Linked DNA regions of Mus musculus. The protein of the gene in region 2 interacts with the protein of the main gene of each other region in a pairwise test. Links are inferred from orthologs where the notes say so. Each region holds a gene or a part of one and is shown on either strand. Other genes may lie near its edges. The genes, in order: Txnl4a, Rhebl1, Prkab2 and Fhl3.

Region 1 (7,223 bases), on a different chromosome or scaffold from region 2:
TGTGCGTGCATTATTGTGGCTTCCAGGTTAGTGTTTTTATGGGACTCCTGAGTGTGTGAACAAGTGATTCTCTGATCCTTGTGCCTTCTCTTGGGAGTTTTCCTTCTGCTAGTTTTTTTTCATGTCCAACTTTGATGTGACTGCTCTTGTTTCACCTTATGTCTTATTTGGTTACATGCTATCTCTTAGAAGCTGGTTCTTTCCTAATGAGAGATAGAAAGAAGAAGGAGCAAAGCTCCTGATTTGGGGGGGGGGGGAGCTGGGACGAATAAAGGGAGAGGAAACTGTAATCAGGATATAGAATGTGAGAAAAGAATCTATTTTTAATAAAGGGGGAGGAACCTAAATGCCAACGAGCTAGTGGAGAAATAGTACAGAATGGTGTATCTGTGTAGCTGAATATTAAAATAAGAGGAAATACTGATGTGTGGAACTTTAGAGCATGATGCAATCTAGACTTGATAAACCAGCTAGGAAGGACTACATATAATTCCATTTATTGAAATGTCTAAAATAGGTCAATCTACAAGCAAAACATAGATTAGTGATTACCATAAGCTTCAGGGATAAGGAAATGGGAAACAATTACTTTTTCTTCTCAGAGTGACCTTTTCCCTAGAATTTGATTGTAGTCTCAGTTCCAGTTGTCTGACCCTCCCTGATGATATTTAGAGTATATCTACAGTATATGTTAATAAATATTTGTATTAAAGTATTTTAAATTTTTAAAGATTTATTTATTTATTATATGTAAATACACTGTAGCTGTCTTCAGACCCCTTTTCTTCTCTCTCTGTTCCTGCTTGATCTGGCCCTGTTCACTCCAGCCCAAAGATTTATTTATTTATTATACGTAAGTACACCATAGTTGTCTTCAGACACTCCAGAAGAGGGCATCAGATCCCATTACAGATGGTTGTGAGCCACCATGTGGTTGCTGGGATTTGAACTCAGGACCTTTAGAAGAGCAGTCAATGCTCTTAACCACTGAGCCATCTCTCCAGCCCCTAAAATTATTTTTATTTATTTTTGAGACAGGATCTTATATACTTCTGAATGGCCTCAAACATACTATGTATGATCCAAGGATGAAGTTGAACTTAAAAAAAAAAAAGATGTATGAGTATGAATGTTTTGCCTGCACATATGTGTAAGTGCACTGTTTTGTGCCTTGTGCCTGAAAAGGCCAGAGTGTGCTGAGTCCCCTGGAACTGGAGTCATGGACGTTTGCCCACTGACATACGGGTGATGGAAATCGAGTCTGGGTCTTGTTTTATTTTGTGTGGCTTAGTGTTTTGCCTGCATGCATGTCTGAGTAAGGGTGTCAGATCTTGGAATTACAGCCAGCCATCATGTGATAGCTGGGAATTGAACCCTGGGTCCTCTGGAACTGCTGAGGCAACTCTCTAGCTCCAGAACCTGGGTTTTCATGAAAAGCCACAAATGCTTTTTATTTTGGAGTCATCTCCTCAACCGTTGCTTTTTAATTTGTAATTTTTATCAGGAGAGGGATAGTGGTGACTTGTACTTAATGCCAGTAAATGGTTAAAGTGGCAAACTTAAACACGTGTGTGTGCGCGCGTATGCGTACACACACACACACACACACACACACACACAGATATGGTAAAGAAAAGTATTCCTACTTGTAATAGCTTAAGAAGATGGTTCAGGAACACTGCAACGTGGTCTTGTAGGGAGGAAAATATGTTCAATTACCAATTGTGGAACATTATGGGTGAAGAGGAATGGATCTGTGAAAGAGAAATTAGGAGGATAATGGCTGAAGCCAAGGAGATCTGACCTCTGGGATAAGGTACAGGTCCAAAAACTTGATTATATCCAAGAGTGTCTGATGATGCAGAAAGATATTTTACAGAAGAATGCATAGATAGGCCTATGGAAAAGATCAGGAGCATGGCTGAAGTTTGGCCAAAGACTTGCCATATTTCTCAGCACAATAAAAAAATAATAAGCCGGGCGTGGTGGCGCACGCCTTTAATCCCAGCACTCGGGAAGCAGAGGCAAGCGGATTTCTGAGTTCGAGGCCAGCCTGGTCTACAGAGTGAGTTCCTGGACAGCCAGGGCTACACAGAGAAACCCTGTCTCGAAAAAAAAAAAAGAAAGAAGGAAAAGAAAAGACAAAAATAATAAAAATAGAGACAAATTACCCCACAACACTAGACGCGTTACGAGGTGGGGACGCTTGGGTCTCGACCGTGCTCTGGAGCACTTGCTAAAGAGGCTGAGCGCGAGATTAGACTCGGGTATCCCCGCCCCCTCGGCAGAGGCACCGAGTCGCCAAGAAGGCGAGCTCGACGCGCTCACCGACGGCTCGCTCTGCGCAGGCCCAGCTCGCTGGGCGGCGACCAGGGGTGGGGTGGGGACCAAGAGGCCGACGGCGACGTCCCCGCGCATGCGCATGACGCCAGCGTGCGCCTGCGCAGCAGCGCCGAAAAGCGTCAGCGCGTGACGGCGCGGGAGGAGCTGGTGCTGGGTGGAGGACGCGGTGTTTGGGCCGCGTGGGCTCACACGAGGTTAGAGGTCGTCTGGTGTGGCCCCATGGGGCAGGGGCTGCCGGGGTGTGTTCCCTGCGGAGGTGGCGATTCGAGGGTGTGGTTCCCGTGCGAGCCGAGGCCCTGTATGGGCTTTGGGCCCGGGGCGAGCAGTGGAGGTTTGGGGTGCGGTGGCCTGCAGGTTTGCAGTGGGGCCCTAGGCAGAGTCTGGGGTGCAGGCCAGGTTCTTGGGGTCCGGATGGGGTCGCGATCCTCTGCTCTTTCTACCCACAGGTAGCTCGCGGCGTCCGGCCGCGCAGGCGCGCTCAAGATGTCGTACATGCTTCCGCATCTGCACAATGGCTGGCAGGTAGACCAGGCCATCCTTTCGGAGGAGGACCGCGTGGTCGTCATTCGTTTCGGACACGACTGGGACCCCACTTGCATGAAGATGGACGAGGTTCTGTACAGCATCGCCGAAAAGGTAACTCATGTGCAGTGTTCGCCGTGCTGGGCCCCGCAGGGCGGTTTGGACGCCAGATTTCAAGCCCGAGTCCTGTGTTCCATGCAGAGACCCACAGAGAGACGGGGTTCATGTACGGGCAAGGTTTGTGCTAGAAATGGTTAGAGTTTCTTAAAATTTGAAGAAATTTATGATTTCCTCCTAAAATAAGTGATGATAAATTTTGGGGGTTTTTTTGTGATTACGGAAGGGGATGGATGGTCCGAGATAGGTCTTGTGTATGTATCTATATGTATATATAGTCAGACGGACCTTAAACTCGCCGCCTCAGTCTCAGAGTTCTGGGATTACCGGGCACCACTGTGGATGATGTTTTAAAAAATTTACTAGGGCCAGGTGCGGTGGCATATGCATTTAATCCTAGCACTCTAGAAGCTGAGGCACTGATCGTTCTAGGCCAGTCAGGACTGTATAAGACTGGGTCTCAAAAACAATGTATCGCCGGGCAGTGGTGGCGCATGCCTGTAATCCCACCACTTGGGAGGCAGAGGCAAGCGGATTTCTGAGTTCCAGGACAGCCAGGGCTACACGGAGAAACCTTGTCTCAAGAAAGAAAAACAATGTACCTTATGTGTAGTCAACAGAGTGACTTTGCAAGCTTTGTTGAGCTTGTTGGAGCTTACTTAGGCGGCTTAGCTTAACATTATTGGCCTTTTCTCAATATTTTATGGATTTATTGTATTTATGAAGCAGAACTTTTAGGTTAATACCATGATGGACTTTTTAGCCCCCACCCCCTCTCTGGGAGAGAAGAAAACCGGATTCACTGTGTCGCCCAGAGGGACCTTGCACATTCTTTCCTTCTCCCTGCCTCCTCCCAAGTCCTGGGATGAGCCTCAAGCTCTTTGTAAGTTACTTGATTTGTAGCTTGCAGTTATTCAAATGCTGAAAGTTGAGTTTGGGTGGAACTGGTGTTCTTAGTTTTCCATATTTATAAGCAGGGTGGCAGTACTTGTTTCCTGACACTGGAAGTGTAATTGTCAGGCACTGTTACACGATTAGGAGGTTCATTCTGTGAATTCCTCTTCACGGTTTTAGGATGACTTAACTTTTTTATGATTGTAACAATAGGGCAAAGACTGTAATATTTAATGATAAGTAATTTCAATATTATTTTATTTACTTTCTTATTTATTTGAGACAGGACCTCCCTACATAGCCCTGGAACTTGTGTAGACATGTATCTATATGTCTTTAGACCCTGCAGACAAGTCTATCTGCCTTTGTCTCCACCTTCCAGTGCTAGCTTTAAAGGTGTTTGCCACCATGCTTAGCCTGAAAGTCAAAGAAGAGTTAACACTGATAGAAATGCTGGAACTATTTTCCTTCTCACCCATGCTGCTAACGCCTGCTGGCTTAAAGTAGTTCTTAGCTTTCAAATGACGTCTGCCACAGGATTGTCACTTTATTTACTTGAGCTATAAGTGAGGCCAGGGTCAGGTGCCTTGCCACTGAACCATAGTCACCATAGCAAAGACATTCTCTGGAGTAAGACACGGGGATGTGTGCGTGTGAAGGAAAAGCAGCAGCATTTGGCTTTCTGCTTCCGTGTTGCGGAGAGGCTGGTGGAGGGCAGTTCTGACATCCAGTTATCACAGGTGTCTCTGCGAGTGCTTCTCTGGAAGCTTGGAACACGGTTGGTCTGGGCTGAGGCCTCCAGGGGATTCGGTGCAGATTAGCTTCTGAGGAGCAGCTTCTCAGCCAGCCCTGCCCTGTTCCTCTGGGAGTCTCTCTCCTGCAGGCGTGCAGGCTGTCCTGTCAGTCAGGCTAGAGGTACGAATGAGGTGATTGGGTCCCTCAGAAGGCAAATGCAGAGATTCACTGAAGCACCACTACAAGCAGGTCCACGGCTGAGTCTGCTTTAGTTGAGGACAGCTGTCCTTTAGTTATTCTGACCTGAAGGTGGTTTGACCAGTGTCAGGAGGGCTTTCCTGTCAGGAGGGCTGTGTCTGAGGCCCTTTGCTCTTCCCCAGCTAAACAGAACTTAAGCGTTTCCCGTACTTGTTATCTTGTTGTCTCAGTGCTGCTCAGGTGCAGACAAGGCCAGCCATCCCACTCACCAGACATGCGCTGTATTTGGTGTTGGGTTCATTGGTCTCCTTCAAAAATATTTCCTTTAGTCTTTTAATTTGCATTTTCTTTTGTCCAAAAAATGTGATTGCATTCTTAATGAGCTCCCTTTTTGCTCCTCTTAATAACTCTGGTACCACCATGCTAGCCAGGTGTCCTGTGCCCGTCCTCCTCAGTCACTCTTCACCTCGGTATTCACTGAGGCAAGGTCTTTCCTTAACACTGAGCTTGCCAGTGAGGCTCGTCTTGCTAGCCAGCTTGCTCTAGGGATCCTCTGTCTTCCATCTTTTAGGACTAGAATTAAGGTAGGCCATCATATCTTCTTGATATGGGTTTCTGGGGGTCTGAACTTGGGTCCTGCAAGCTCTTTAACCACTGAGCAATTTTTTCCATACTCTTAATAAACTTTTAATACTATGTTTTAGTATAGTTATTAAAAATGTAAGTTTGAATTACATTAAAATCACTGTTGTTCTACTTCCTTAGTGTAATGGCAAAATACACATTCGTAAGTTTGGGAACTCCAGGGAATTTTCAACATAAATTTTTGAAATTTAAGATTTTAGTATGTAAAGAACAGTATAACTATTTAAAAATCTCCCTCCGCAGAAATGGAAGATAGTGGGAGATCTTCCTCATCTTGTATGAGTCCTGTTTGGATATCCCAGCTGTTTTAAAGTGAGTAAAAGTTACATGTGTGTGCAGGCTGGACTTGAGTGCCCTAAAGTATGTTGCTTTAGCCAGTGTGCTGCTGCTGCTTGCAGTGTGCACCTCCCGTGATGCTGGAGTTACTGAGTTCAGTACTTGAGGAAGAACGGTGGTAGGGAGCACGCAGACTTAGATCTAGTGCTCACTGAGTAGGTCCTCTGTAAAATGACTTCAGGCAGTTTTGAAGAAAGATTATTTCCTGAACCTTCTCTTTTCCCATGGGGTAGGAATGTACTTTGTCACAAAAGTGCTTCTAGAGATCAGAATTCCCTTAATACTGTGACATACAAAAATGGTGAGTGTTTTTAATATACTAAAAAGCCCATACAAATGGCATTTAATATCTTCAGGGATGAAATGTGATGGTGTGTTCTGAAAGAATCATTGTGGCTGGTGAGACAGCTCAGCAACTAGAGGCATTGCCACAGAATCCACATCAGAGTCAAGGAAAGAACCAATTCCCTCATTTATTCTCTGACCGCCACACATATGTGATGGCGTGTATGTTCTACATATATATACACGTTATACATACAAATGCATGACAAAATTTTAGAAGACTATACAAGACAAATAATGTCCATAGGGCTTTTAAAGAATAATAGGGAGCCTGTCCTGTACGAGACTAAGGATTACTGTTGCCCATGCTTTCTAAAGTTCCATAGCTGCAGGAAATAAATCCACTGGGCAGATGCAAAGCAGTGTTTTTCCTTTACATTTTAGATTTTCAAAATGGTTATTGGAGGAAAAAAGGAGTGGACATCCACTTTAATCTCAGTTTTATATAAATCAGGTGGAAATTGTAGTGAACTGTGAACTGGTAAATGGCTGGCCAGTAACAGGAGACTATATGCTGCTGGTCCATATCTTACCCACATGGGAGCATGAGCCAGAGCCCAGGCAGCCCCTCTTTGAGATCCGTTGCACACACACTGGTGCAGATAGAACCCAAGAAGGCTCAGAGGTTAGCAGGGACCAGGGAGGTCTCTGCTGCACTGGCCCCTTCTCCTCTAACTCCTGCACTGTGTGTATCCCATCTTCGCTAGAGGATTGCGGGCTTTGCCGAGACTTCGAGGTCCTGTTGGATAAGAGCATCTCGGAGCATGAGTACAGAATTAAGGTGGTGTAGTTACATTGAGGCTGTTTAACCAGGACTATCTATCTGATAATCCGTACTCTCCAGAGATACATTTGTGATGACAGTGCTGTGTTTCTTGAGTTTTGAAATACACCTTTGTGTCAATTCCTCGAGGCAAACGGTGCTGGTGTCGCTTGTGCTCTGAGGCATCCTCTGTGATTGTGTGGAGTCTGACAGGCCTGTCTGCCGCCAATATGAACATCCGCCGGGCTCGGCCAGATGACCTGATGAACATGCAGCACTGCAACCTGCTGTGCCTGCCCGAGAACTACCAGATGAAGTACTACTT
Region 2 (7,462 bases):
AGTAACTACAGCTCCAAGGAACCTGATGCCTCTGGTCTCCTCAGGTACCTGTATTCACATGCAAACACATAATTTAAAAAGTAAAGAAGAGCCGGACAGTGGTGGCGAACGCCTTTAATCCCAGCACTCGGGAGGCAGAGGCAGGCGGATTTCTGAGTTCGAGGCCAGCCTGGTCTACAAAGAGCTCTAGGACAGCCAGGGCTACACAGAGAAACCCTGTCTCAGAAAAAAAAAAAAAAAAAAAGACCTACACCTTACTAGCAAACAGCCATCCTACTGTGACCGACACTGAAAGGACAAAAACAAATCTTTAACACCTAAAATATATACCACAATTCCAAACATGACTAGATGTTTTGATATAGCAGGAGGAAAAATGCCTGCTATATCAAAGGGACAAGGCTCTTAGTAAGCAGTGCATACATAGAGTTCCAGGACAGGCAGGACTACACAGAGAAACCCCACAGAGGGATGGGGGGTGGGGGAAGGAGGGGGCTTAGGCACATCTGGGTTGCCAGATCACATGTACGCCAAGCACATTCTTTTCTCAATTCTCATGGGTTATCACACACTTTTAGTCTCCACCTCTACTCTCCTTGACATCATTAGAAATGAGGGGACACAGCAAATGTCATGGTCTCAGGACAACAGCTAGTCGGATGGCATATGGCATTTAGCCACTAGAGGGCAGTATATCTGTAGTTAAGGGGATCTTCAGGACCCACAAACTTAGATGGGTGGGGCAGCCCAACAGATCTTGGTGAAGTTAAAAAAAAAAAATATAACAAACAAAAAAGAAACATCAAAATAGATGAAAAAAGGCGAGTGGTTAAGTCTTAGGGTGGGGTCCTTAGTGAGGAGAAAGACAAGAGTGAATACTAAATACTGAAGCCACCAGTCCTCAGCTCTCTCCAGACACAAACGTCAACAAAAGATTTCTCAGTTTATTTGGAAATATACATTGTTACCCCAGCAGACAGTTCTACTTCAGAACTGCCAAGGAACCAAACACCCTTACCCAACCAACACCCAAAACCTACCCAGGAGGGTGGGTCCTGGGTAATCAATGCACAAGACTCATATCCCTACTGTACAGACTGTAAAAATTGGTTTAGAAAACCAAGGAGTTAGAAGCCAGGGTCCCTGAGACATCTTGCCCCTTTGTAAACATTAACATCCAGGCTACCAGAACCTGGGATGAGTGTGCAAAAATAAGAGTGCCATACTGTGTGCCCAGAGGACAGGGGACATAGTTGGCAACCATAGCAGTTATATCCTGAGGGTCTGCCCCACTGCTGCGGGTTAGACAATGTCTGCGGCAGAAACAGGGCAGTTATTCCATGCCAAGAGTTCACATAAGATAGCATCGGCGGTCTTGTCGTCCATAAGAATTCTCCACCCGGGCAATCTCCTGGATGACTTTGATGAAGACATCTTGAGTTAGCTATAAGGAATAAGATCAGCAGTCAATCAGTTGGGTCAGAGCCGATACTATCCAGCCCCAAGGCAAACAGCGCTTCCTAACTATCCCCACCACCAATCAGCATGTAGGAAAACACGGTTAGCCTTGCCCCTGGGTCCAATCTTTAAGTTCAGCACCTGATTATCCCGAGCAGACGACTCCATAAACATCGCACCCCAGGACTCTGCTAGCTTCTTCCCTTCAACTGCCTGCACCTCTCTGGAAGCAGATTTGGAACACACCAAGATGGAAAGCAGATAGCAACGTCGGCAAGTTCTCTGAAAAATCTCTAGGGTTTAGATTCCTTCTGATGATTCACAACCCCTCCCCCAAGGTTTGAGGAGGTGAAGAAAGAGAAAATATACGTAAACAAAAGCATGATATGTAAATGCAAAACTGAAATATAAATTATGATAGGATTATCCTTAAGTGACCTTCAAAGTTAGGATGAAAAGCTCGGGGACCAGCTAGGCACGGTGACCCACCACTACATTCTCAGCGAGCACTATTTGGAAAGCTAGAGGACCTGGAGTTAAAGGACAGCCTGGGCTATGTGGTGAAGATCCCGTCTCGAAAAACCAATCAAGATGTAAAATTGCTTCAGTCAAGCATCAGAGCTGGGAAGGACTACAGCTCGATTGATCCCTGATACAAGTCACTTTCCATTGCCTGAGCAGCGGAGTCTTACCCACCTCTCAGGAGAGAGATCTGCCTTGTTCCCCACAAGCAGCACCGACAGCCTGGGATGACAAAGCAGTTGCTACAGTTATGCTTGTAAGATCCCCTTCCCCATCCTCCATGGACCCCAGCTACTCCAACTCCATCAAGGCCAGATGATTCCCAAACAAGCCAACTGTGATCTAGGTCTAGCCTCCTTGAAGAGTTCACTCACCCTTTCGCTTCCTTCCACACCCTCAGGTCTCTATGTCCTAAAGCCACTTACCGGGTTTTACCGTGGCCTTCGTGTAGCTTTTGGTACAGGTTCTTAACGATCTGAAAGCTTCAAACATAAGAAACAGAGCTAGGGTTTTAGTTCTAGGATAACTGCCCAGTCTTGACAAGCCCCCACTCAAAAACCTCCGTGCGTACCTGCGCAGAGAGTTAACCGAGTATACAAGAACGTAACCATGGACCCCGATGATGAGCGAGTAGGGCAGAATGCTGTACTCATCCTAGCAGCAAACAAAAACGTGAGTATGTACACCCATGCCTTCAAACGGCGTAAGCCAGTGGCATAGCACACGAGTGACCCTCCCGGGACATTCCTCGCTCCGGTCTCTTCCATCAAACAAATTTTTATGAAGTAGCTCCACTGAGCCCTGCACACTGCTAACAGCTCAATGCCTTTCTTTTCATACTACATCCCACATGAACCCCCCCCCCCCCACACACACACACACTACCAGACTTTATAATTTAGGGCTGAACTATAACATTTGGACACCCTACCGCAACTGGTACCTGCCCTGCTGTGTCCACCAGATGTAGGTGAAACTCATCTTTGCCAAGAGTCACTGTCTTGCTGTAAGCTGGAAAAACAAACAAAGAAGAAAGCTTCTTGACTGTGAGGTGCTTTGTGGTCCCAGTGATGTGTGTTCCGATACAGTCCTGACCCCAGGAGTGACACACTGACTTACTGTCTTCAGCCACACCTGTGGTTCTCAACCTTCCTAATGCTTGATCCTCAACCATAAAATTATTTTTGTTGCTACTTCATAGCTATGATTTCGCTATCGTCGTGAACCGCAATGTACATATTTTTGGAGGTACAGGGTTGCAAATGGGGTCTCAACTCAGAGACTGAGAACCTCTTGATCTATACTATCCTGGTCTAGAACGGCACAAACGCCACGCTCTAGACACTAGAATGGGACTCCCAGAGCTGATTAGTGGACCCTATAAACAAACCATCCTCTTTGCAACAAAGAAATCTCAAATTATGGAGTTTGAGAGGGCACCCAGTCTATCTAGGTTCCATCCCCTTCACACTAAAGAAAATTACTCATGCCAGGTGGTAGTGGCGCACGCCTTTAATCCTAGTATTCCAGAGGCAGAGGCAGGAGGATCTCTGAATTCGAAGCCAATCTGGTCTACAAAGCTAGTTCTAGCAGCCAAGGATACACAAAGAAACCTTGTCTCAAAACAAAAAACAAAGTGGTGGGGGGTGTTGGGGGGGGGATGCAACTACTTACTATTCTCCACTGTAGGATCGTAGCCTTCCAGGAACTCGCCTTCCACAAATTGATGTGCCAAAGATGTCTTCCCTTTAAGGACCAAAGATTGTTGTAATATAGTCATCCATCCATATTTACACCTTTTGTCCTTTCGGACTGTGGCCAGGACCAAAGGGCACCTCACATCAGCATCCCAGATTGTGGGAGCTCCCAAGCAATGCTTACCCTTTGTCTTTTATTACCATCATCCTAACAAGTAGATTTCCGCGACGTTTTGGTGATTCGATGCATTCAGTGACGCTTCAGGAAGCCCTTTCCTGCCCCACCCCATCTCACCCTTTGAAAAAGATTCCCCGGGATCTAGTGCACCAGGCCAAGGACACTTGCAAGTGTCTAGCCGGCAGAGATCTCCACCACACCTTCAAATACTGATCCCACCCCCGCTCCCAGAGAGAGCAACGCGGGGACGACTGGTGCAACCACAGCCCGGTACACTTTAACCCTTGCGCGCTCCTCTTCCAGCATCCCTCCACCCTTCCATCTCCTGGCAGCAAAACCGACTTCTTCCCAGGCCACATTGGGTCCTCGTGTCACATCTCCGCGACAGCGCGCCTCTTCTGGCCACAAAGCAACCGTGCTCTCGGGAGGGCGGGGACTTACCTACGGAGCGGTACCCTAGGATGGCCACCTTCCTGTAGCGCACCAGCGGCATGACAGGACGCCGCCCCGCGGGGCTCGTAGGAGTGCGGGCCGAGGGAACCCGAAGATCAGCCGAGGTGCAGGCCGAGGTGGACTCTGGGAAGAAGAGTAGCTCGCTGAAGCTACGCCCGGCAAGCCAAGGAAAACCAAAACAAGCCGCGCGCCCGGGGCAGCCCACGTGATCACAACACAGCGGCTGTACGCAAGGGAGCTGGGCGAGGGGGGGGGGGCAGGGGAGGGGACAAGACGAGCGGGATACCTAGCCGGGCGGCTCCCGGCTCCGCCCCACATGCTGCTCCCCATTGGTCTATTAGAATAGAGGAGGGCGGAGTCACCCACAGGAGGGAAGGGCGGGCCTCACGTGGAGCGGGATCTTTGGGAGCTGCACATGCGTAGACCTGAGCCTGTTCATTCATAAAGAAAGAGAAAGGAACCCGGGGTCCTAGAGGTACTTGCTGCCTAGCCAAAGAAGCTGGGACTCTCAGATGGAAAACACCTGTTGTGAAAATACAAAACGAAAAGGAAAATATCTGTTGTGGTTCGGCTGGAGTGTTTGCTTTTGAGACAGGGTCTTACTGGTGTAACCTGACTGGCCTACAGCTCTCTCTATAGATCTTGCTGGCTTCAAACTCACTGGGATCCACTTGCCTCCTCCTCCCCAGTACTGGATCAAAGGGGTGCACCACTACACGTGGCTTTGGGCTGGAGGTTTTGTTGAAAAGATTCTAGGCCCTTGAAGCACGGATTTAATCCCAGCACTCGAGAGGCAGAGAAGGGCATGTCTCAGAGTTTGAGGCCAGCCTTATTGACAGAGTGATTTTCAGGACAGCCAGGGCTACACAGAGAAACCTGTTCTCAGGAGTGGGGGTGGGTTCTAGGCCTCTGATTTCACAGAACTGGAGTTCTTGTTGTTTGGGAAATTATTTCAGTGTGTATGCAGTCTTAGGTTTCCTTATCATACCCAGGACACTCATTTATTCAACAAATACTGACTGAGGCAGGAGGATGCTGAGTTTGAGACTGGCCTGGGCTATACAAGATCAAGCCACCCAAGACCTTGTCCAGAAAAAGGGAAAAAGGAAAAGAAAAGCATACGTCTATAATCGAAGGATTTAAGAGGTGAAGACAAGAAGGTCAGGAGGAGTTCAAACTCATTACGGCCTCAGCTATGTAGTGAGTTTGAGCCCAAAAGACCTTGTTCTAAAAAAAGAAAAAAGGCTGTTGCCCATGTTCCGCATGCTCTGGACAAGACACTGTTGCAGGCTTGCTAAAAGAGATAAACATGGCATCTGTTTTCCTGGCATTTAAATTTATTCAGAGTTTGGAGCTGCATGAGGCCAGCCTTGTTTGCAGTCCCCAGAACACACACACACACATGCACACACACACATATGCACAAAACCTTAGGGAGACAAGTATGTATGTCATGGACAGCTTCAAATTAACCAGCGGGTTCATCCCGTTGAGGTAGAACCTAGGAAGTTGGCCGCTGGTGGCCGGTGTTCCTAAGGCTCTGCTTCACTCTGGTTTGTTTGGTTTTTGTTTTTTGTTTTTTCCAAGACAGGGTTTCTCTGTGTAGCCCTGGCTGTCCTGGAACTCACTCTGTAGACCAGGCTGGCCTCGAACTCTGCTTCTGCCTCCCGAGTGCTGGAATTAAAGGCTTGCGCCACCATGCCTGGCTCTGCTTCATTCTGGACTCTTCATGCCTGCTTTGGTTTGCTGTCTGCCGTGAACAAACTCTTCCATCACACGCACCCACTATCCGTGAGACTGCGCATGAACTTAGAGCTAAGTGGTCATAGACTAACCATATGAAGTTCTGAGCCAAAAAGGAACCTCTCTCTCCTTTTCAGTTATTTAGCCACGACAATACAAAATTGTGACTTAACGCTATGCTTCCCAGGACTTCTTTGTTTTCCACGGCTAAGAATTCACCTCCTTCTTGGTACTTAATAAACATCATTATCATCATAAACAGCGTTGGCAGAGGTGGCACACACCTTTAATTTCAAGACTCATGAGTCAGAGGCAGGCAGTTCTCTGCATTCAAGGCCAGCCTGGTCTTCAGAGAGAGTTCCAGGACAGCCAAGGCTACACAGAAAAACCCTGTCTTGAGAAAATAGTAATAATAATAATAATAACAATAACATCACTATTACTTAGTGGCTTAAAAAAATATGGAGTTTGGGGAGATTTTTATTGTTTTTGTATTTCATTGTTTTTTTAATTGGGTTTAAGTTTTTTGAGACAGGATCTCTCTATATAGCTCTGACTTTTCCTGGAATAGGTTGGCTTCGAACTCACAGAGATCTCCCTGCCTCTGCTTCCCTGTGCTAGGGTAAAGGTGAGTGCCACAAGATTGGCTTCCTTGCCTTTGTTTCTTTGTTTCTTTGTTGGAGATACTATGTAGCCCTGGCTGGCCAAGAGCATTCTTTGCCATAGACCCTAACTAGCCTGGAACACCCAGAGATGCACCTGCCTCTCCTTCCAACTGCTGACCCAGAAAAACAGTGTATTCTTTCTGGGAATCTGGGGTTTGAATTAGCAGCTCTCTTGTTTCCTGTCCTGTATTTGTTCCTGGGGTTGAAGTCTCAACTGAGGTAGAAAGTCCAAAAGGACCTTGAGTATCTGGGCCTGTGTGCTGACTATTGGCTGAGTCAGACTCTCTGTCTCTGTCTCTATCTCTGTCTCTGCCCACCCCCCACTCCCTTCCTGTGTCTTTCATTAATGAGTGATGGAGCCTGAACTTTGAGGCAGAATGGGATAAGAAAGCAAGGGCCTCTTGGGCTTTGGGCCCTGGAAATGGCAAGTAATTGGTTTCTCTAAAGGAAAGTGTTCAATCCAGGGACTACAGCCACAGCTTATAAGAGTTCCCAACTTGCCTGAGCTACATAACAAGGCCTTGCTTCCCCCAAAATAATGAATAGCCAGCCTCAAATTGTCCAGGATGAGCCTGAACTTTTCTTTAATTTTTTTTAAAAAATGTATATGGGTGTGTTGCCTACATGTGATCCCTTGGAACCAGAGTCACAGTTGTGAGCTGTCATGTGGACACTGGGAAGTAACCCTGTTAAACTTGGAATCCTCCTGCCTCTGACTCCAGAGAGCTGGGAGGATCTGTGCTGCT
Region 3 (7,227 bases), on a different chromosome or scaffold from region 2:
AGGTTTTTTTCTGTGTAGCCTGGCTGTCCTGGAACTCACTCTGAAGACTCAGAGATCCACTTGTCGCTGCCTCTTGGAGTGCTGGGATTAAAGACATGTACCAACCAGCGCCCAGCCCTCACTCGCATTTGATGGATGTCCTTATCACATGACACAAAGACAGATTCCTTTGCCTCATCGCTCTCTGAGTTAGTAACTAAGACAGATGCCTTGCAATTAATCTGTATTCCCAGTGCCCAGTGTAGTGCCTGGAGCATGGTGGGGCCTCAGTACATTGATGATAATTAATTGAATGAACATACTTAACAAGAGAGGTAAAAAGCATGAATACGTTTTTAAAGGATTAAATTGAATAGTGAACATCACTCTCCTAAAAGGAGATTAAAGAGTGCTTAGTAATAGCGCTTAGAACCAACTTGGTGGCCGACTGTTTTTGCAGAAAACTTTCCCGAGTAGACCACTGATGTGAATCTGAGGGCTAAAGCACTGTATGGTTTGAAACAGGTGTTGGTATACAACGTATTTCTTCAATCAAGCAGGTTTTAAAAAGTCAAGATCTTAAAACAGAAAACAGGACTTATCTCCTCCTCGATTCTCACCATGCACGAACGCCTGCTGCTGTGTCTTCTTGCTTCTCCAGCTCTCCAGCCCCTCTGAAGCACCCACTACCTCTCCTGGCTGTAGCTATTTATAGACCCGTTTATTCCCCTTCACTCAGTGAAGACCTTAGCACCTAACTCAATGCTGTGTCTATAGACACAGTCATTCCTGAAGGTGATGTTAATATCTATGCAATTAGTACTCCATCAATCCAATGGATTAATTAAGTAGGATGAGGTTCAGCTATATTTAATAGAAAAGTGATAGTCAACAGTGGTCTAACAAGACTGATATTTCTTTCCCCTTCATATAAAAAGTCTAAAATATATCATTTATGAGATGATTCCATAGCTGCATGGTTCCTTTTCCATTCTTTTCTTTTTGTGGGGGAGATGGGTGAGACAGGGTCTCACTATGTAGTTCTGGCTGTCCTGAAACTGGTTCTGTAGAGCAGGCTGACCTTGAACTCACAGAGATCTGCCTGCCTCTGCCTCTCAAGTCCTGGGATTAAAGATGTGCCACCATGCCCGGCTCAGTTCCCTTTTTTTATTCCACTGCTTTTAACTACCTCGTGATCTGAAGTGGCTGCTGGAGCTCTGGCCATTCTATGGACACCCTATACACAAAGAAAGAGAAACGGAGAAATTCTACTTACCATTTCCCCCTATCTATCTATTAGGGAGGCTAAGAAATGCATCTCTGTGGAGACAGACAACATCCTAAGGTTAGAGTCAGTGCTTCAGTAAAGAGGAAGGAAATCAATGTTAAGGTAGACCTCCAACTCTCTTTGCTACCTCACTGTTCCTTTTGAGTAATTACTTTCATTGTTTAAAATGTTAATCTATGTTTGAGTGTTTTGCCTACATGTTTGTATGTGCACCTGAAGGTGTTGTAGCGCCTGGAACAGATGATTATGAGCCACCTTGTAGGTGCTGGGACCAAACCCGGGTCCTCTAAAAGAACAGTAAGGGCTCTTAACCACTGAACCATCTCATCAGGGTTTATGACTTCTAATGGCTTTATGGTCGGCCTCATCTCACCGATCTACACACTTGTCTAAGATTCTGCCAGTGCTAATGACTGCAAGACCACTGAAACCTCAGTGGCAGACACGCTACTCTCACAGGACACCTCTCACTGTCTCAGCTCACTCAGTCTCTCCTGTGTCCAGAGTTCTTTGACCCCACTGGGCCCTCCATCAGCCTATTTTATCTTCACTTCCAGCCGACTGGTTTCAAAACGCTAGTCCAATAGTATATTCCCAGCCTACCTGTGCTCTCACTCATTAGCTGTTTGCATTAATCCACACAGCTAATCACAGTAACAGAAAACACCGCTTTGATGAGTTTGGGCATCACATAGAAGTAAGTCTTCTGCAGTAACTGCCATCACGTGTCTAGTCAATTCTCTGTCCTACTTTTTATTTCATGCCTCCTGGGACAACTAAAAAGGTTGCTTGGTAGAGGCGTACGCGGAATATGAAAATGTGGATCCACTATGCACCGCTGTCCAGTCGTTTGAGGTGATCCTGTTAAAAGTGCAGATTCTAATTCTGTACCTAGGGCACGGGGAGGCCTCGGATTCGGCTTTTCTAATAACCGCGTGCCCCATGGATAGACAAACTGCTTAGGAAGACAAGACGCCCCACTATCAAGCCCTGGGCGGACAGTTCACAGCCCTAATCCCGACCCGGACCCCACCCTCGGCCCCGCCCCAAGCCGGAGCTGCGCACGCACCCACCACAGAGGCGGTGCTGGTGGCTAGAGAGGCAGGCGACCCAGGCTGAGGAGGGGGCGGGGCTGGAGCGCAGGGGGCGGAACAAGAGGCTCGGTGGGCGGGGCCAGAGGCAGAGGCGGTACCTCGTCGCGGGCCTTGTAGCCATTTTAGGAGGAAACCCGGTTCGCTGGTTTGGGGCGCGGCTTCAATTTCAATAACTTTATTGGTCTCCTTGTACGCCGAACAGCCGGCGTGCGTGTAGCCACGCGAGCCCGGAGCGCATCGCCCGAGGTGAGCGGCGTGGGGGGTGTGCGGGACCGGGGCTGTGGGGCAGCGAGGGCTCCCGGAGCCGGTTCTCCGAGCCGAGGCGTCCGTGAAGCGGGTAAGGGAGGGGACCCCGGGCGCGGTCCCCTGCGGCGGGGATTCCCTTCCCGGGCGCAGGGGCGGGGCCGGGGCGCCCCTGACGCAGCCGCGGGGGTGTTCCCCGCCTGGTGTCATTCCCCGCGGCAGGTTGCCCCCGACTCGAGCTGCAGCCATGGGAAACACTACCAGCGAGCGGGTGTCCGGGGAGCGCCACGGAGCCAAAGCTGCTCGAGCTGAGGGCGGCGGCCATGGCCCGGGAAAGGAGCACAAGATCATGGTGGGGAGCACGGACGACCCCAGCGTCTTCAGCCTGCCCGACTCCAAGGTGAGGTAGCGGGGCTGCCGGCAGCTCCGCCCTTCTTGGTTCTTCCTCCTCATTCTCAAGGGTTATGGGCTTTTTAACTAGAAGGCTATTCCGCGGATAGAGATGCTGGGTGCTAATTCCTCCTAGATACTACCTCAAATTAGGATAGGGGCGCGGAGTTGTTTTCCTGCTGCTCAGAGTAATCTGTGGGCCAACCTTTTAGGACGAGTACCAAAAACCCATCCCCTGCCAGCCCCATCCTTGGATCTACGTGCAGGTTGCCCTCTTCCAGAGCTTGCAGGATGTATAGGTTGTGAGCGCGGGTGGAAACTTCGGAGGGTGCGTTGTCTGAGCTATTGAAAAGGGCTCAGTTTCTCACATTGGCCTCAAGATAGCTAGATGACTTCTCCCTGAAAATGTCTCTGTGTAGGTCTCCTTCTTGCTCTCTCTTACGTGTTCTGCATCACCTCTTCGATCCTCGTCCACCTTTGTATGGCTCTGAGCTGCCATCAGTTGATTACTTGAATACTTTCCCCTAGTCTTGGGGATCCATATAGGACATCATTTGGTTAATGGCTCAGATCTTTTTTTGAAACGTGCCGTTTTAAAATGTAGCTGTGAGCTTTGCACAGGAGAGCAAGTCACTTTACTTCACTCCTCAGAAGTACTTCAAAACGTTGCCCGGGGCTCAAAACCACCCTCTACTGACCTGAAGCCTTAGCTCTCAATTCCATAGACTTGGAGCCAGAGGCCACTTTTGGTCACTCAAAAGAAGAGCCAGATGGAGCTGACAGCAGTGTGATTGCTACCCTAATGTTCCTAATCACTTAGAAATGTCAGCATTAAATACATGTAATTTCTCCCGGTAGACTTTCTGGAGTGAAAAAGAAAACCCGGCCCTTGGGGATGGGGTGGGGTGGTGGACATTTATCACTTCCCAGTGAACTGAGGCTTAGGATAACAGAGTTTTATTTGCCACTTTGATGGCACATGAAATTTGAATTACACACCTTATTTTCTCCGATCGAGATTGAGAACGCCGTTAGAAAAGTGCGTCATTGAACCGGCCATTTCTTGGGGTTCCCTCTTCCCTGTTTCCTCTCCTCTAGGATTCCTCCTCATTTGGGCCCTGGACTCAGCCTAGATTTCCTTCTCCAAAGCTTATCTAGGATGACAGGCAGGCCGTGTATTTTTGCTCATTCCTACATTGATGACTCAGGATTTGGGTACAGTCAAACTGTGACTGCAGTAATTGGTGTCCTGAATAAGAGCCAGGCTGCTCTGTGTGGATTTAGGCCTGTTCTAGAACATTCTTTCCCTCATATCTTGCCCTTTGTGAAATGAAAAAAGTAGTTCAAACAATTACCCATGTCTTATCAGATTGAAAACTTTATAGTTCATGCCCTCCCCTCCACACACACACACACACTGAATTTCCTTAAACATTTGCAGGCTGTACTTTGAATGCTGCTTTGCTGCTGTTCGTGGTGATTTCGCTGATGGTTTAACTGGAGCAAACAGTTTTTCTGCAAGTCAGCAGCAGTCATTCCTACCACAGAAATGTCATGTCATAAGTGGAAGGGCTTTGCTCCAAAGCCAGGCATATTAATAGTTTAGAGCTTTCAAATCCTAAACTGAAAATCCTTAAGTCATAAACGTAATTGATAGGAACGGTGGGGCTGGGGGCATCTTTGCTTCAAAGGTCAGGGTTATCAATAGTCTTAGTCAGTGCTTCTCAGCCCTGTTTGTATGACAGGATCCCCCAAGAATGCTTTAAAAACCTTACGAGAAATCTGACACACTTATAAAATGAACTGTGTAATGAACTGTGTGTATGTCACCCTGTTTATACGGTGCTGGAAGGTCATGAAAGACTTCCTCTGGGATCCAAGCCTCTCCTCTACCAGCCACTCTGAAACAGATTTCAAACAGGTCAACAAATAGTATTTCTAACATTTTAGGACATTCCTCAAAGGTGACCGTTTAAAGCTGATATGATAGCGGCTCACACCTGTGATTTCAGCTGTTTCAGAGGCAGAGGCAGGAAAAACCTTGCCAGGCTGGACTGGAGTGAAAATTTGACCCCTAGAGAACGATAAAATATGTTTTTCCTTGTTTATTGTAATGTGATAAGAGTGTTGTTATCTGAAGGCTTTAAAAATATATATTCCCAAAATCCTATGAGGACTCAGAGACTCTGAGGGTTGTTTTGAGCCATATGTAAGCACTCCCAGTGCAACTGTCAGCCCCAGGGCATTGCTTTGAGGTTCCAGAGACCACCGTTTTGTCTTAATCCAGTCCCCTGAATAATGTAAAAGTCCCTTCCCTTTTCTTTCACACTTGCTTTGGTCTATATTTGTACTGTAGTCATAAGGACTATCGAGAAACAGATCGAAGGTAAACTTTTTTCATTTTGGAAAGAACAGGGGAAATCCCAAATAAATAAGCTAGACTTTTCTTACTCTAGCCCTCATCATTTCATTTGTAATGCCTGACTTGGTACCATGCAGTCTTATTTACCAGTCAGTGAAGCCATCCCAAAGGACGGATTAGCAAACTTTTTCTGTAAAAGGCCAAATAATAGATAATTGAGAGTCTGTGGGTTACACCCTCTGCTTTCACTTCCCAGGTCTGCACGGTAGCAGTGAGCTGTGGGTGATAAACACGTGGGTGGCTGTTTCCCAAACGAAAGCTTAGTAAAAGCAGTCTGGCTCATGGCTGCAGTTGGCCGACGGCTGTCCTGAGGATGGCCTTGGAAAGAAACTAAGGGATTTGTTTTTCTCAGAATCCTACAAACCCCATTTAGTAACGGATCTGCTTTTGCTCAAGGAAGCTGCTTTTGGTCGTGTGCTCCTAGAGTTCCAGGATGTCCTGCATCCTGCTGAGGGGATTTTATGACCTGGCCTAGGTAAGCAAGGGAGGTTTCATCACCGGTTCAGTGGTACCGGATCAGTGGCGTGGCTTCTGAATGCCTGTCGATTGATGGATGATGGTGCTGGAGATGAAACCCAGGGCCTTGTGCTCGGGAGGAAAGTGCTCTGCACTGAACTCCGTCCGTCTCCAGCCCTTAAAATGTGAATGCCCTGTTGTATAACCAAGGAGCTGAAACAGCAGTGCTAGTTACTCAGGAATTTTGGTATCTCTAACTGTAATAGAAAGAGAACAGTTTGCCTCAGAAAAACATATAGCTGGCTTAATTTTCCTTTAAAGAACCATACTTAACTTTCTTACAGTTTCTTATGAGGTGTTCAGGAGCATATCCTAATTGCTACATACAAGCGAGGCCTGTAATAGGAAGGATTTAGAGGTGTTTGGTTTTTTTGAAGGGTGATGCAAAGGTTCTGCAAGGAGAATGATGTGTGCCATATGTTCTTTAATATAGTTTGTTCATACCCTGATTCAGTTGCTGAATTTGGGCTGTCTGACTTTAGTTGACGCCTAATTTAATGCCCATTAAAAACCTTTGGGACCTCTTAAAAACCCTTGGGTCATAATTTATTCTAGGGATGACCTACTCCTTCTTACAGCTCCCCGGGGACAAAGAGTTTGTACCCTGGCAGCAGGATTTGGATGATTCTGTGAAGCCCGCCCAGCAGGCCCGGCCCACCGTTATCCGCTGGTCTGAAGGAGGCAAGGAGGTCTTCATCTCTGGGTCCTTCAACAATTGGAGCACCAAGATCCCTCTGATAAAGAGGTGAGGACAGGCGTCTCTGCTGAGTGTGCAGTGTGCAGGAGCAGACACCTGGCTGCCTTCCCTAAGGAAGAGAGCGGGCCTCAGGAGCTTCTGACAGCATTGTGTGTCCACGCTTCGGGACTCTGCTTCTCAAGCCATTGCTTGTCTGCAAGAAGTCTGGAAAACACTAATCCTTTTGCTTTGATTTCTGTATTAAAGCGAAATACATTGTGACATTGTAGGTATAATGTCAGTTTATTGCTGGCATAGCAGTAGTGAATGATTTAAGTGGTTGTCAGAGTGACCCTTTATGTAACGTCATTTTCCAGACAAGGCTCACCAAATTATGGGACGAGTACCCTGAAATATTTCCCAACCCAAACCTACCTTTTATGTTATTCATAATTCATACTTGTGAAGACTCTGCTTTGTGTGTAGTGTATGTGTGTGTGTAGTGTGTGTGTGTATGTATGCATGTACATTTGTATGTGCACCCATATGTGTGCATGTGAAGGCCACAGCAAGACCCAGTATCTTGCTCTGGCTTTCAGCCTTGTTGCTGAGCCACAAT
Region 4 (7,203 bases), on a different chromosome or scaffold from region 2:
CCACAAGTAACACCCCTGATTTCCTACTTGTGTATCCATTCACATACACACACACACACACACACACCCCACTTTTAAAGAATTTATTGTATTTTTATTTATGTGTTTTATTTATGTTTGTCTTTATGTGAGTAAATGTCACCTGTGTTCCTGTCTGAGGAGGCCAGAAGAGGGCATCAGATTCCTTGAAGCTGGAGTCACAAGCACTGTGAGGGGCCAGATCTATCTGCTGGGAACTGAGCTCAGCTCTTCTGGGAGGAGCTACACACTGGCTACTTTTTAGGTCAGCCTGACACAAACTAAAGCAATTTTGGAAGAAGGAAGATCAATTAAGAAAATGCCCCCACCAGATTGGCATGTAGGAAAGCCTATGGTACAATTTTTTGATGGTTGGTTGATGTGGAAGGGCCCTGCTCACTGTGGGTGGTGCCACCCCTGGGCTGGTGGTCGTGAGTGCTATAAAACAACAACAAATAACAACAAACAACAACAACAGGCTGAGAACTCATAAGAAACAAGCCAGTAAGTAGCATGTTCCACCATGGATTTTGCCCAGGCTCCTGCCCTGACTTCCCTTGAGCCGCTGCAATGTGGAATTGTAAGCTGAAATAAGCCCTTGGCTCTCTAACTTGCTTTTGGTCATGGTGTTAGAAAGCTAACAGCAAGCAGGCTCATGCACCAAGCCATCTCTCTAGCCCCCACACCCCTATTGCATTTTTAAAGAGAACTGACTCCAGAGGGTTGTCCTCTGACACAAGCACACAGGTACACTAGCACTAGCATGCACATGTGAGCCCACATACACACAAACCACCCAGATATACACCATATATATATGTATGTGTTTATTGGATAATTACATGAGTTTATATATGTGAAGTATTTAGGGAATGGTGCAAACTGGAAGCTCAGAGTTTTGGCTCTTGGTAAAGGCCTTCAATAGCACTTCAAGTCATAAAAAAAAGAAGAAAGACCCCAAGATGAAGCACCTTTACTGCTCACTAACAACTCTTCCTTTCCTGAAGGCTCTGCCCTAGTTATAGTTTCTATCGCCGGGAAGAAACCATGACCAAAAAGCAAGCTGAAGAGGAAGCGGTTTATCTGACTTCTACTTCATCATAGTGCATCACTGAAGGATGTCAGGACAAGAACACAAACAGGGCAGGGACCTTGAGGCAGGAGTTGATGTGGAGACCATGGAGGGGTGCTGCTTACTGGCTTGCTCCTCATGGCTTGCTCAGTCTGCTTTCTTATGGTATCCAGGACCACCAGCCCAGGGATGGCACCACCCACCATGGCACTGGGCTGGCTCTTCCTCCATCAATCACTAATTAGAAAAATGCCCTACAGGCTTTCTTACATCCTGATCTTATGGAAGCATTTCTCAATTGAGGTTTCCTCCTTACAAACAAACAAACACCTCTAGATTGTGTCAAGTTGACACAAAACTAGACAGTACAGTTTCCCACCATTGTCCCCACTTCAGGTCAGGACAGACAGACCCCTCTCGCTGTCTACTCCAACCAGGAATGATAGTGTTTCCTGCATTCCTGTACATAGAGCTCCCTAGACCTGGGAGACAAGTCCCAGAGGAAGGGCTCACCCTCAGACTGTCTGATAGTAGGTGCCTGGCAGGGAGTGGCAGGGGGTCCAAATGAAAGCAGTGTGTGACATTCATCCCTCATTTACTGCAGGTCAAACACTGGAGTAGATACTGGGAATGCAGTAGTGAAAAAAAAAAAAAAAAAAAACCGACCCAACCTCTGCCCTCGTGGCATTTGCAATTTAAGAATCAACAACATTTAAGCAATCCTTTAACTCTGAAAGAAAACCTGGCCTAGAGGCTGTCTTAGGACCTAGCAACCAGACCCCTGATACAGAAGGGAAGGCGCCACACCAGCCTTGAAGGGTCTTAATCCCCAAAATGCTAGCAAGGCTGGATGCAGCCTTGAATTAGGGGGGGCCTCTCTGGACATCTGAATCATCCCCGAGACGCAAAGGTTATTACCAGGGTTAGTTTGTTGTCTCTTGTTTTGCAAACAGCACAACAGAGCTCCCCCACCCCCACCCCGCCCTCCAGATCAAGGCTATTTATTCCTAGTGACAAGCCTGAGGATCCCAAGGGGGGTGGCCTCAAGGACCTGGATGGGCCTCGTGTCCCTGGCAGACACTAGTCCTCCCTTCCCGGAATAGGGTAGAAGCTGGAGGATCAAAAACTGCACAAGTTCCCTCCCTTCTTAACCACCCCTGCCTGCACCAACCACTCGCACTGTTCACACACCCTCTCGAGAAACCCAAAGCCAGGGAGGCCGAGGATTAGGGTCTCCCTGAGCCTCAAAGGTCAAAACTATTCCTGGGCACTATAGAAACCTCAGTGCCAGGGCACAGTTGAGGATGGGGAGGTTGTTGCCTGTGCTTTCGCCAGTCGCTTATAGAATAAAGCCCTTTGAAATTGAGGAGGATAAAGGCTCGCTCTCTTTAGCCCAAGTTTCTAGAAAAAAAAAAAAAACCTTGATCTCCGCTGGTAAGGCAGAATCAAAACCACGCCTCCAGCCGGCTGGATTAAGGCCTCCTTCCCAAGCTAAGGTTTAGTGTAACATCTGGGGATGAGCTAGAGGGAAAAGAGGAAGGGAGGTCTGGTCTCCAGATGGACTCTAGCTAGTCCTAGGAGCTCTGCACCCCTGGCCTGAGATCGCTTCCAGCCGTCCCCCGGGGTCCGAAGGGCGCAGGAGGCGGGTTAAGCTGCAGGGGGCGAGCAAGGAGTGGTCGAGGAGGTCAGAGCACCAGGTTCGACTGGGCTGGGCTCGCCGCAGGCAGGAGGGGGCGGGGTCTGGCCCTTGCGGGCGGGTTGGGGGCCCGGGGGCGGGGTCCGGGCGGGGCGGGCCCGAGCACTTCCTCGGAGGCTTAGGGCCGCGCGCCCACTCGCCCACACAGTCAGTCGCAGCCGGCTACCTCGCCGCTGCTCTCTCGGCCCCCCTCCGCCTGGCCCACAGGTAGGAGCCGCCGGGCGATCGGCTCCCGCCCCACCCACGCCGCGCGCGCCCAGCTCCCGCGCCCGCTTCGAGGTGAGAGTCCCCCGCCCCAGCTGCGCTCGGACCAGGGTCGCTCTCTGGGCCCCTCACCCCTGTCTTCTGCTGGGGCATCCCGAATTCGGGACCCCACGCGCCTGCACGGACCCCACCGCTCCGCGCCTCCCGGCCGGGCGGGGACCGCCAGAGTTGCAAGGGGTGGGGACCAAGTTTGAACTAGAAAAGCTACAGAGATCAGCAGGGTTGGAGAAACTGAGGCTCTTAGGGAGCCTGGTAGAACAGACAAGGACGCGCGCCCCAGGAGGCTACCGGGACCACTCCAACGAGGGCAGAGAATGGCCGGATGAACTTCTCGAGGCACGGCGGGGACCCGGGTTCTGGGGAGCATTTTAAGAAGCAAATGTATGGCCCCAGGGAACTCATTGCTAGCACCCTTCCCAGGGCCTTGGAGGGCCCCGAGGCTGGAGCTTGTTAGACTAGCGCTAAATCTGCCTCCCGGAGGCCTAAAGAGACTCTCAGGTCAGAGACATAGAGACGTCGAGAGAGACCAAGACTTGGATATGAACAGGGATAGAGATCCCCAGAGTGGAGGCCCTACTGGGACACAGCTCCAGAGATACAGGAACACCTTCACCCAAACACAAAGACGGGTACTGACTAAGCTCAAGGGTACTGAGAGGTACGGAGTGGAGGCTAGAGTTCGCTGAGGAGAGACACCTAGTGTGTTCACTGACAGCTGCCCCAGGCTTGAAAGGGTGGAGGCAAGGCTAGGGGGAAATTGACTCTTAGCCAGCCCATCCCCCAGGAGGCAGAGGACCTGAGGCTGTAAAGCTGAGCTGAAGAGAGAGAGAGAGCCCCATACACACACAGCCACTAAGACAGCGCCAACTTATTTTTAAACTCAAATCTTGGACGCTCTGCTTCAGCCCTAGGGGACTCTGGGGTGAATGAAATGTCCCTCTCCTGTTCTCGGAGCAGCTGCAGGATCTGCTCCCTTCGCCCTAAACTGCTTTGACTTCCAGGCCCTGTGGGGAAGAGGGGCAGTGGAGAGTTTGGGATTGGTGCCTGGTTGGGGGGGGGCTCTAATTTCTCCCCTAAGTCTCTTGTCAAGGGGGAGGGGTCTTCTCTGAGTTACAGCTGTGGGGTCTGGCCAGGGTCCTCCTGGACTTGGGATGGGCGGGGGGGGGGGGTTGCGGGAGGCGGGGAAGGGGGATATACTAAAGGGTTGAGCAGTTGGCATGGGTAATTGGAAAGACTTCTGGGTGTCTTCCAATGGCAGGCTGGCAGCCGGGGAAGACAGCCAGCTCTAGTGTATCTCCTGTTCGCCCTCCCTCCCCCCCAAAGGATGACTGCCCCTTCCACCACTACCAAAGCATTTCTAGGCAGAGTTCCCCTCTGATGGATAGGACACTTCTGCTCCAATTGCTGAACAGCCTTGGCCATGCCCCTAGCCTGCCCCTGGTATCTTGTACTGAGCTCTAAAGGGGACCTATACTCTGTCCTTCCTTTTCGTAAGCTGAGATGCAGTGGTCGTGGGGTGTGTATTTTGTAGATGACAAGGAATCTAGCAAGTATGTGCTCCTGGGAACTAACCATCTCTAAGGTCTTTAAAGTCCCCCCCACCCCACCCTGGTATCCCACTGGCTGGGCTAGAGCTTACGATGTGTACCAGTGGTTCCCTCAGACTTCACTAAGACTCCCAAGGTCACATCCCAGGTTAACTCTTGCTTCGGGCCTACCTGAGACTACCACTGTTTGGCTCCAGTAGGAGTTGAGGGGCTTGTTGTAAAAATACAAGTGACTAGCGTTTACTTACAGTGATTAGCGTTTACTACAGACTTATTACAGAAGCTGTCATGGGGATTATCACATTTTAGCTTGACAGCTGTCCTAGGAGAGGGAGGTAGTAATAGTATCTCATTTAACTGGTTGCACCTATACTCTCAGGGAATGAAAACTGTATACCCAAGGTCACAGGATTTCAAGTCAGGTGTATTTTTTGTGACTCAAGCAAGCTGTTATCCACTGGACACCATACAGAAAGATATCCTGCCACTCAGCTCTGAGAAGTTCACTCTGTGTGTGTGTGTGTGTGTGTGTGTCTTTTTTTTTTTAATATTTATTTATTATATCTTAAGTACACTGTAGCTGACTTCAGACACACCAGAAGAGGGCATCAGATTTCATTACGGGCGATTGTGAGCCACCATGTGGTTGCTGGGATTTGAACTCAGGACCTCTGGAAGAGCAGTCAGTGCTCTTAGCTGCTGAGCCATCTCTCCAGCCCTGTGTGTGTGTGTGTGTGTGTGTGTGTGTGTGTGTGTGTGTGTGTGTGTGTCTGTCTGTCTGTCTGTCTGTCTGTCTGTCTTACTTAAGTCAGGTATGGAGATAATGTGTGTTCGTGGAAATAGCAGATTGGGGTCATTTGGAAGAGCCACTGTCTTCTCTAAACCACACCCTCCTACCCCCCCACTCCTCTACCCCTTCACCTCCCCACCCCTCCAGCCCCCTCACTCCCCCACCCCCCACCTGCTCCCAGGAATACAAACTGTCTCCTAGCTCACCCTTTTAGTCCCCCAGCCTTGCCAGGCATTGTGGGGGGAAGGGGGGTTGGGAGGAGATAGGAGACAAGTGGGCCTTGGTGCCCTTCACTCTGTCCTCATTAGAGACATAGGGACTGGGAGATTCTGGGAGGAAGCAGAAGACACACCCATACCCTATTTGGGGTGCCTCATCTCATTGTGGTGACTGGCTCTGAGGGGGTGGATCCAGGGCCAGCCTGGGCCTGGGAAGGTAGCTGCTGCCGCTCCTGCTAGCCAAGCCCGGAAGGAAGGGCTCACAAGTGGACACATGGCCACAGGCCACCTGTGTTGCTGTCTGTTGTCCAGTGGCTAACAGCCCAGGCAGTCCTCAGATGCTGGGCCAGAGGAAACCAGGACCTGAATGACAGGGGAGAGAGAAGGAGGGGCTCTCTCCACCCTTCAGCATGACCGCTACCTGAGGACTCTCCACTTTGAAGACTCCCACTTTGGTCGCCTTATGTCCTGCTTTGGGTGTGAACCAGGTGTTCTCCCTCCTTGTTGAAGGGAAAGTTCAAACTCATAAGCCACAAAGAGGTGAGCCCTTCAGGTTTGGGACATCTGTTGCTGCCTGAAGTCTGAACTCTAAGGCAGACCAAGGTGTTTGGTGAGAACTTCCTGTATTTGCTGAGCGGGTATGTGTGTGTGTGTATGTGTGTGTGTAGTGTGTGTTGCCTTTCCTTCATCTTAAGCCAGGGCAGCCATGGAGAAGGGGGATGGTAGGTTCCTCTGTGCATCCCCCCCACCCCTTTTAACTTCCTCCAGCCTCCTGTGCGACAAGGACAGCATCCCCACCCTGTGGGCCCTGCGGGGATCTTCTTCACTACCCAGCCCTTTGAGAGCTTGCTTCAAAGTGGAGTAGGGTGGAGCTGGAGAACTCTGACTTTGGGGCCGGGGGAGACTGGAATTGGCCAGCACAAGAGACTGGGAACCCCATTTCACTGCCCCCCCATTCTTCTTGCTCCTGTTCCAGAGGCGGCAGTGTTGGTGACCTCATCCCACAAGCATGCTTTGTTCCTGAGAAAATGGAAAGTGTCTGAGGTTTGGTGGGGGGCTGGGAGTCTGCAGCGACAGTGCTCAGGACTCCCCTTGTCTTACTCCCCCTTAAGAAGGGACCCCACTGGGGCTCCTGGGGCTCCTGCCTTCTCAGCTTTCACTACTCTGACCTCAAACTCTGAGAAATCAGGGAAGGTGGGCAGAGGCTGCCTGTCCAGATTTAGGGGGCTTTGCAGAGCTTGCAAAGGCACCTGGCAGGAGGTGGGCAGGGGACACTGCCCTGTCCATGTGTCTCCTCTTGCCTTCTGCCTCTCCCCCCCACCCCCCAGGGCATCTCAGTTTTTTCCCTTTTTTCTCCCTCTGGCTGGCAAAAAGCTGACATCTGGCCCTCCTGCTGCCACAGCTGCAGCAGCTGTCACAGCCAAGACTGCCCGGGGTTGGTGTGACCAGAGACACAGCAGAGGTGGTAGGGATGAGGATGAGGGTCCAGCTGGGGAAGTTTGGCTGTCTCCAGCTTGCAGGGTTTCCTTCCTGCCTGAACCGAAGCTGAGCCTTGCAAGTTCTTGCTGCTTGGCTGATTCTCCTGGGAGGGGAGGCCC

The links.
Region 1: the proteins of Rhebl1 (region 2) and Txnl4a interact in a two-hybrid assay, tested with the Homo sapiens proteins (2 studies listed by BioGRID and IntAct). The link is inferred for Mus musculus from reciprocal best matches to the Homo sapiens genes RHEBL1 and TXNL4A.
Region 3: the proteins of Rhebl1 (region 2) and Prkab2 interact in binary tests that used the Homo sapiens proteins (3 or more experiments, as listed by UniProt). The link is inferred for Mus musculus from reciprocal best matches to the Homo sapiens genes RHEBL1 and PRKAB2.
Region 4: the proteins of Rhebl1 (region 2) and Fhl3 interact in binary tests that used the Homo sapiens proteins (3 or more experiments, as listed by UniProt). The two-hybrid records come from large-scale screens. The link is inferred for Mus musculus from reciprocal best matches to the Homo sapiens genes RHEBL1 and FHL3.

Annotation. Positions count from the first base shown.
Region 1 is NC_000084.6:80,204,365-80,211,587, forward strand, and holds the start of Txnl4a (thioredoxin-like protein 4A), read left to right. Parts: upstream 1-2,461; 5' UTR 2,462-2,537; exon of another isoform or gene 2,538-2,697; intron 2,698-2,789; 5' UTR 2,790-2,826; coding exon 2,827-2,979; intron 2,980-3,745; coding exon of another isoform or gene 3,746-3,865; intron 3,866-5,697; coding exon of another isoform or gene 5,698-5,736; exon of another isoform or gene 5,737-5,766; intron 5,767-7,048; coding exon of another isoform or gene 7,049-7,093; exon of another isoform or gene 7,094-7,128; coding exon of another isoform or gene 7,129-7,223. Other genes in the region: Gm16286 (N-alpha-acetyltransferase 11-like), read left to right, coding at 7,129-7,223. UniProt on the Homo sapiens protein: Plays a role in pre-mRNA splicing as component of the U5 snRNP and U4/U6-U5 tri-snRNP complexes that are involved in spliceosome assembly, and as component of the precatalytic spliceosome (spliceosome B complex).
Region 2 is NC_000081.6:98,876,854-98,884,315, forward strand, and holds Rhebl1 (GTPase RhebL1), read right to left. Parts: upstream 4,562-7,462; 5' UTR 4,349-4,561; coding exon 4,297-4,348; intron 3,727-4,296; coding exon 3,655-3,726; intron 2,992-3,654; coding exon 2,924-2,991; coding exon of another isoform or gene 2,912-2,923; intron 2,635-2,911; coding exon 2,552-2,634; intron 2,463-2,551; coding exon 2,406-2,462; intron 2,203-2,405; coding exon 2,155-2,202; intron 1,682-2,154; coding exon 1,600-1,681; intron 1,445-1,599; coding exon 1,352-1,444; 3' UTR 907-1,351; downstream 1-906.
Region 3 is NC_000069.6:97,655,763-97,662,989, forward strand, and holds the start of Prkab2 (5'-AMP-activated protein kinase subunit beta-2), read left to right. Parts: upstream 1-2,449; 5' UTR 2,450-2,607; exon of another isoform or gene 2,608-2,826; 5' UTR 2,827-2,851; coding exon 2,852-3,004; intron 3,005-6,487; exon of another isoform or gene 6,488-6,489; coding exon of another isoform or gene 6,490-6,510; coding exon 6,511-6,677; intron 6,678-7,227. UniProt on the Homo sapiens protein: Non-catalytic subunit of AMP-activated protein kinase (AMPK), an energy sensor protein kinase that plays a key role in regulating cellular energy metabolism.
Region 4 is NC_000070.6:124,697,787-124,704,989, forward strand, and holds the start of Fhl3 (four and a half LIM domains protein 3), read left to right. Parts: upstream 1-2,912; 5' UTR 2,913-3,065; intron 3,066-5,610; exon of another isoform or gene 5,611-6,145; intron 6,146-7,203. UniProt on the Homo sapiens protein: Recruited by SOX15 to FOXK1 promoters where it acts as a transcriptional coactivator of FOXK1.